Xenopus tropicalis: one gene and its partner. The protein of the gene in region 1 interacts with the protein of each later gene in a pairwise test. Links are inferred from orthologs where the notes say so. Each region holds a gene or a part of one and is shown in the gene's direction. Other genes may lie near its edges.

Region 1 (3,967 bases):
TCTAAAGGAGAAGGAAAGGCTTTTTTACACTTCTGTAACCCCTTATGCCCAGCAATTTGCTGAAAATCACCCCAGCTTGGGATACGATTATAGGGGACGCCAGGCCAAAAAGGTTTTCAGTGAGGAGTGCAAGCCAGGGTCTAAGCTTAGTGATTATAATCATTGAGCAAAGAATTGGCAATAAACCTTTCCTTCTTCTTGAAGATTAGGGGTATTTGACATTAAAAGGATGTAACAGGTGTCCCTTCCTGTACTGCTGATTCAGACTACTGTAACAAAGTAGCAGACAGCTACTTTCCGCCGACTTCCGCTACAGTATTTCAAAAGTCAGACCCAGGGAACAGAAGGGGGATCAACAAATACATCTGCCATTACATTTGCAAATAACTTAAAACATGTAACTATTTCTATGCAACTTTCCAATATACTAAGTTTTTCAATGTAGTTCCCCTTTGCTAAGTGTGTTTCTAAGGCTACTGCAGTTGCCCATTTGGCTAGTTGCTAGGGAACAGACCAGGTTTGAATGACAGACGAGATAATAGATATGAAAGTGGCTCAATAGAAACTACTTTAGCAATTCACATAAGCCAAACGGCGAATCTGTTGCCATGCTTCACTCTGCCCATAGTTACAAGTGTAGTGAGTATGTGTGTAGGTATTAAACTACAACTCCCAGCACCGCACAATGGTAGGGGTGGAAGGTACATGTTAAGCTACGAGTGTATCGCCCATGCCTTCTATGGCGCCTAGGCTGCAGACTTGCGTTTAACCAGCTCACTTGTTGGGAGTCAGGGACATATATAATCAAATACTGACTGTCTATATCCTCTATGAGGCTGGCGGTCCCGGGCATATAATTCATCCTCTTTCCCGACCCTCCACGGGCCACTACCTCAAACCGGACAACACACAAAACTGGCCTCCAAAAGCACCGCCATCCTATTAAAAAAATGGCACTTCCGGCGGGACGAAGGCTCGTCTTATGGGCGGTGAATATGTACGTGACGCCATATTCAAGCGCCCGGCTGATGACTTCTGCGCCTCCCCGACATTTTTTGCTGGGCTTCCAATTTCGTCCTATTGGTGGTTGAACTAGTGTGGGCGTGGTTAAAATGGTTACCGGCCAATTAGAAATCTGAACCCAATTATTTCGCCGACTTTGCTCAACAACGATTGGTCGCATTCACGCATTCGATGCCTTTCACTTTCCCATTGGATGAAGTGACTTTTACATGACGTGCTGTTCGTGCGCAGTTACCCTGACCCCGATGACAATCAGTTCCCTCTCACTTTTTATTGGCCGCTAGCTAGAGATAGAGGCGTTTCTGAATCAGCGCACTTGCGCTCCATTGGCTGTTTGTTGTCTAGCTTCGTATTGATTGGCTGTAGGCGAGGTGCCAGGCTCTCACTGGTCGCTCTGCGTCGGCTCAGTTGACACTCGCTTACTCTCTAGCTCCCTGAATTGGAGGGTCCATGTCTGCCGCGCACAGGCCTGTGGAGGGAGGTGGGGGATACTATGGGGGTGCAGGAGCGGATGTGCTGGCAAGACAGCGGGGGGAAGGTGAGGCAGAGTGGAGAACTGGCTATTACCCACAGGAGGCGGAGAGAAGCTGGGCCGGAGGAGGGACAGGGGGAGGAGCTCCTGGAACTCAGGTGAGTAATTGCAGAAGTCAGGACGCAAAGTCATCAGGTAAAGTGTCATGGGTGTCTTTCTTGTTTCCATCCATCCAAACTACAGCACCTTTTCCTGAGGGGATCTGGGCAGGGGGCGGGTTGGATACCAAACGTGTCCATTCATTACCTGTATACATGGATATCCGGTACCTAATACATACGTGTGTGTATATATATATATATATATATATATATACAGAGCCTCTAGAGGCGCCTTTGTGCTACTCCTCCATAAACACTGGCCATTCATTTCCTATATAGTGAAATTGAACATTTAAAGGTCAAGTAAAGCCCACTATAAGCCAGTTTTAATTGACTAATATTAACACGTATTTACAAACCAACAACATATTTTGCAGCTTTTCATATACATAAAACATACAGATCACACACAAATATGAATTGATACAGAGGGACCTTTGTTTTGCTTGCCATAAGGCAACTTTATGGGGCTGGAGTACAATGACACTTGGGAAACCACAACCTAAACTTATGCCATAAGGGGGCGCTCTTCTATGGCAAAATGTAATGCTGCCATCCCTTAATATGGTAACATCAGGAATCTTGACTAAGGTGGCGGGATGTCTTTCCAAAATGTTTATATGTATGTATGTATAAGCGCCACAAGGGTACGCAGCACTGTACAATCTTACAATATACCAAATTACACACAGGGAGGACAAGTGTTATAAAAAATACAGTAAATAAGTATAAATACACAGGGAGTAAGTGCCATGTGGAATGAGACACAGTAGGAAGGAGGTCCCTGCCCCGTAAAGCTTACAATCTAAGTGGTTGGGTAACATACAGGCACAAATTGGAAGGTAAGAGTGCACCAGGTATGGGCATTTGCCCTTAAGCGCAGGACTGGGCAAGATAATGTTTTAGTGCTCCAGAAGGTAGTATATGTTATGCCCAAACAATGGCACCCATACTATTTTTTTAAAAAAAATGATCAGACCCGTTGGGCTAGGTAGAGCACTATGGAGCTTTAAGGGTGGCCGCCAGTAGGTGGGGGACAAGCCATCACATTGGAGGCTTTATGAGGGAGTATTTTAATGAGAAATTCTTTCTAGTTTATTGCTACTGTATAACAACATGAAGTACTAGCAGCATTTACACACATAATCCATTTCCAGAGCTGCCAAACAGAATGCTTGCATTAGATTCGTTTAATATGGTTACACTCATACAGATAACATCTCCATAACGCGGACAGATTCCTGATTTGAATTATTCCAAAATTAACTCCTATAACGTGTGCAGTAAGGACTGGCCACATTCTTTTCAGCACTTTCATAATGAGGCCTAAGAAGTGCCTACGGCCAATACATCTATAAAACCTAACCTAGAATCTAACTGCTTTATAATTATCCTGTGCTGCAGCTTTCTAGCCCTGTGTATATTTGGCAGACTTGTAATCAATACATTCCTTTTCCATTCCAAATTGGTAAATCCCAGTGAGCTGACTGCCATTTCCTGAGCAATTGCCTTTTATAGTCAGATCTTTCTGTGCTGAACCCCTTTCCATGCTGGGTTCTAATAACCTCACTGATCTCCAAAGCAAACACAGATACATTATCTTCTTGGCATTCTAGCGCTTATCAGGTTTTTTCTGTTCAATTCTTGTTCCTCAGCACCCCCTTGCCCCCTATATTTTGGCTCAGGAAAACATAGCCATAACAATAATAGAAACTGAAAAACAATGTGGGTCCCAGTACTGATCGTTGTGATACTTTTTGATTTAACCACTTTATCTTCTCCATGGTTGGCAGTGAGTGTCGTGATGTTGCTAAGCTGCCTCAAATTCTAATGCAGAATTCTAAATATATCCCACTGACTTCCTTGATCCAGCTTACTCTTTCCCTCCTCAGAGAAATCCATCAGATTAGTTTGCTACAACTAGATTAGTTTGCGATCACCATCTACAGGACTATTCCTAAACCCTTTGGGAAATATGGTGCAGGGACAGGGTTAAAGGAGAAGGAAAGTTAAAATCACTTGGTGGGGGGTACCTTTGCTTTTCCTTTAAAGGAGAAGGAAAGGCTAATAAAGAGTTAATCTCAAGCTGCAGGCATACCTTCAGTTCTCTCAATAGTGCCCTTAAGTCTCCCCATATTTCTCCCATTCAGATGATCAGAAGCCTCATAGAAAAAAAACCGCTGAGCTGTGTAAAGAAAGTTCCCATAATGCCTCACTCCTGTACCAAGACCAGTGTACATGTGCAGTTAGTAAGACTATGAGTAAGCTTCCTGCTGATTGGCTCAGATCACACACATTAAGCTAGTAAAAA
Region 2 (4,219 bases), on another chromosome or scaffold:
TTTTTCCCATTTATCCAATATGTCTCCTTTAAGGCAAATGTCACTATGAACCACATACTAAATTGCCCTGCTGCATGGAGGCCACCAAGCAAACTAACAGCAATCATGCCCGGATTTGTGAGAGGCCACAAAGGCCCGGGCCTAGGGCGGCACAAATTTGGGGGTGGCAAAATTTTGGAATGTATCTCCCATACAGAGCAATCAGAATTACTGCCATATGTGACTGTAAAATTTTGTGCATGCGTGCAGTGGGAGTGTGCTGTTTGCATACAAGACCAGCAAAAAGCTGTACCCGTTAACTTTGAACCACATTTCTTATTTTAATAACCATAATACCGAAGCAGAAGTGGGCGCAGACCCAACCTCCCAGAGTGCAAAATGGGAGTTAATTCTGATATTTGCTAAAATGTGTTTTGTCCAGATATTTATTAGAGAAGATGCCATAGTAACCAGTAAAAGGGTGAAGTAGAACGGAAGGTGTGTTCTCTGTGTAAAATGGAATGAAAGTTGCATTGTCAGAGTAAGGAAACAATTCCTTTATGGAACGATGCAACGGTAGTGCGATATTGGTAAAACAAGGGAACAATGCAACTGCGGTGTCATATTGTCAGAGGGAAAGAGCAATGCAACAGTAGCGTAAAAATGGAAGCGGCTGTGTTGTGAGAAGGACCAATGGGAGGAGCCTCTTGTTAATGGGAGGAGGAATAGATGTATTTACGGACTAAACTGGGGCAGTACAAAGGAAGATAAAGGAAGGGCAATGCCGTCTTCATAATATAAAATGCATGTGAATATTGTGTGTGAGGAAGTTGGTATTTGTGAAAAGGCACTGCAGAGAAGGGGCGGTGCCAACAGAGGGAACTGCCGTGCGTTTTTTTGTGCTTGTAGGTCTATGAAATGTGCCGCCAATAAAAGGAATATAATAAAAGTTCTAAATGGGCGGAGGAATAAGAAGGCTGCTATGTGTGGGAAGAAGAATGGGAGGTGCGTTGCCAATGTCGGGAAGGTCTTTTTCAAAACAACTCTTGCAAAGAACGTGACCGCAAATGGGCCTGCGTGGGGAGCAATTAACTAAGGAGGGTTCATGCTGCGAGGCAGAGGGTAATGTTGTCGTTTTAAAGGAGTGTGGTTGGAGGAGAGGGAGGTGTGGCTACAAGACGGATTGGGAGAGGATGGTGGGGAAAGTGTGTTTGTAGGAGGCAATGTTGTCATTGTCAGGGGCGTGGCTTGCAGTGGGAGGTGTTACCCTAGAGTTGGGGCTGATGGGGATTTGTTATGTTGCTTGTCAGAGTGAGGAGGCGTGGCTGCAGGGGCGTGTCAGAATGGAAGAGGGAGAGTTGCGTATTTGTGTATTTAGCTGGAGGGCGTAGCTGTAAGGGGGAGTGTCAGTATGGAATGGAAACGGTCAACACGGGGAATGTGTTGCGTATGGAAGGATGAGCTCAGTTTGGGGAGGAGCGGTGCTGGGGGTGTTGTCAGTCTTGGGAGGAGTGACAAGTCACAGGCTCCAGGATTCCCGCGCATGCGCATAGCTTTGTTTTGACTGAAAATGCCGTCGGTTTCGAAAACGGCGCTGAACGGCTCCCCGCAGACCGAGAAACCGACTCATTACACGTAAGTGCTGCAAGCAGCGCACTCCTCCGGACACTGAGCTGCCCTGCAATCAGGTTGCATTGTGTCGGAGGCGCGTCTTAGCAATAGCTGATTCGACGGCAGCGCTTCATGCAACCGACAAATTATGCCCGTGAGGCCCCCTACTGCAGGGGGTCGCGATATTGTCGTTTAGGAAAGTATCGAGCGCTCAGCCAGGGCTCTCCTCCATTCCGCTCGGTCTCCCTCGCTTGCAAGAAGCGCGGCTCTTACGCCACTTACGTAGTGCGCCGAGCGATGCTTGAGAAGTCGCGCTGCAGCTGGAGTAAAGCGGTTTTGTGAATAGCCGTGAAAGCGGCGCCTGCTCGTCCCTGACCACTTTCCTCCTTTAAATAAAAGCCATTTTCCCTCCTTGTTCCTATCACACTCAGCATCTGCATGGCAGCCACTTGTTGCTGGGTTATCGCGGACCATTGGCAGCGGGTGTATTGATTCCAGCGATCGAACTCCAACTTCCAGAATTCCCTTGTTTTCAGGAGAGAGTTTTAGTTCGGTGGCGCAGGGCGAAGCGCAGGCATTGTGTGTGTGTGTTTTTTTCTTTTTGCAATGTAAGCAGTAACAAACAGCAAATAGCTGCTGTCACCATCTGGTTACGTTCACTTTCAGGCTTACTGGTTGTGTAGCGCCAGTGAGTAGTCCTATATTTACAGTCTAGCTTGCGCTATTGGAGCTGGGGAGAAGGAAACACATGGGAAAGTGGTGCCTGCACACCTCAGTGCAACTCCAAGCCAGGGATCTAGTGGATCTTCACTATACTCTTACTTGTGTCTTTAATAAATAATAAAAGTGTTTTGGAACTTTACTACAATGTTTACTTTCCCGTTTATATTGGATGTATATGGCTACGTCCTGTGTTCAAGTAACTCAGTTAAACTAATTTAGTCTCCTGTCAACATTAGTCTAAACAGATTTACCTAATATTTTGGGGGAGAGAGATAAATACAGTCCCTTTTAATTCATATCTTGATCTGAACCCTAGTTGCCCTTACTTGCCCAGGGATGTCAGACAGCTTGGCTGGTTTCAGTCATCTGGACTTGTATGCCAGATTTGGGGTTTTTAATGTCTTCCTGATGAATTGCAGATGATTTGGAAATGTTTTAACATTACATCTTCCCGATCAACATGGTGGCCAGTGTAAGTTGCATCATAGTTCTGAATGTTCAGGCTGCTGGCCTAAACAAACACAACAGTAGGCAGCTGACCGTGTCCATGTGCGATCCAGTTTATTGGCCCATTTATAATCTGACATCTTGGTAAATAGTGATAATTATGACTTATTAGGTAAGCAAATATTAGTCTGTCTAGGTACCAAACGGGTCTTCGAAGTGTTCCCTATCAGGGGGCCTCTCTAGTGAGTTTTTTTTAGTTTTATTTTCCTGAAATAGAAGTTTGCAGCCAGGTTTAAGATCTGTCTGTAAACTCCCATTTCTGCTGATTAATGAATCACAGTCTGTTTACTTGTTTCTGATTCCAAATAAAAATTTATTGAAATAAAAACTCAAACCCTCTAATGATTTCTTAAACCTCATGGGGGTTAAAACATTTAACAGATTCCAAAATATGAATTACAATCCTTAAAAGGTTAGTCCAGCTTTGTTACTTTTTATTCAGTAATGTCCTATTCCTAGCAAATTGTCAGTTGGTCTCTATTTTTCATATATTTTTGATATATATATATTAATAATGGTCAATGTTGTTGTGCCCTTTTCGTTGTACAAATGAGCCACTGACTCCGACAATGTGAGGCTGCAGTTGTTACTTCTTACTTTTCTTTCTTTTTGACCTAGTCCCTCATTTTAGAGATTGCCTGGTTGCTAGGGAAAACTCTGAAGTTGCAAACATGAGCTACTAAATAGTGAAATGAAATCTCTAAAAAATCAAAATGAAGACCAACTACTTATTGTTTCACAATATCCCTGTCTACATCATACTAAAAATTCATTTAAATTTGATCTGCCCCATTAAAGGAGAAGGGAAGGTAAAAACTAAGTAAGCTTTATCAAAAAGGTCTATGTAAATATAAGCACTCACAGAAACACCCTCTGTCAAAAGAAACACAGCATTTCTTTTCTCCTTTTTTTGTAAACATGTTCTTGGGGTATTTGATTTCCTCTCTCAGAAAAATCCTTCATTCCTAGTGCCAGAGTCTGCTCAGTTTACTCCGCTCTCCCCACTCCTGCTTCCTCTCCCTTTCCCTCAAGAATTCATAAAACTCACTCCCCCCAACCCTAGCTATTAGGGCTAGACTGGAAACAGGAAGCTATGAACACCAAGCTATAGTGGCAGCTGCAACAAGAGAAAGGCCCTAGTGCTCTTTATTTAGGTATGGTAATGCTTTCTGCAGAATAAATATGGAGTTCTAGGTGGCACTAACATCGAAAATCTATTGGCAGCAAAATGACTTACCTTCTCCATTAATACTAAAGCTGAAATTGCTGCTTCTTAATCACTCTAGGAAAGTCATCAAACTTTTTGTTGAAACCATATACAGACATTTTTTTTTATCATGCAATTGACATCTTATGTATGCCTGGACCTGGAATAATTAAAAACAGCTTTGTGTGTGGA

The links. The genes of interacting proteins can lie anywhere in the genome.
Region 2: the proteins of bag4 (region 1) and unkl interact in binary tests that used the Homo sapiens proteins (3 or more experiments, as listed by UniProt). The link is inferred for Xenopus tropicalis from reciprocal best matches to the Homo sapiens genes BAG4 and UNKL.

Annotation. Positions count from the first base shown.
Region 1 is NC_030679.2:132,219,567-132,223,533, forward strand, and holds the start of bag4 (BAG family molecular chaperone regulator 4), read left to right. Parts: upstream 1-1,167; 5' UTR 1,168-1,473; coding exon 1,474-1,653; intron 1,654-3,967. Other genes in the region: U6 snRNA-associated Sm-like protein LSm1, read right to left, coding at 817-862. UniProt on the Homo sapiens protein: Inhibits the chaperone activity of HSP70/HSC70 by promoting substrate release. Prevents constitutive TNFRSF1A signaling. Negative regulator of PRKN translocation to damaged mitochondria.
Region 2 is NC_030685.2:28,323,116-28,327,334, reverse strand, and holds the start of unkl (putative E3 ubiquitin-protein ligase UNKL), read left to right. Parts: upstream 1-1,392; 5' UTR 1,393-1,549; coding exon 1,550-1,614; intron 1,615-4,219. UniProt on the Homo sapiens protein: May participate in a protein complex showing an E3 ligase activity regulated by RAC1. Ubiquitination is directed towards itself and possibly other substrates, such as SMARCD2/BAF60b. Intrinsic E3 ligase activity has not been proven.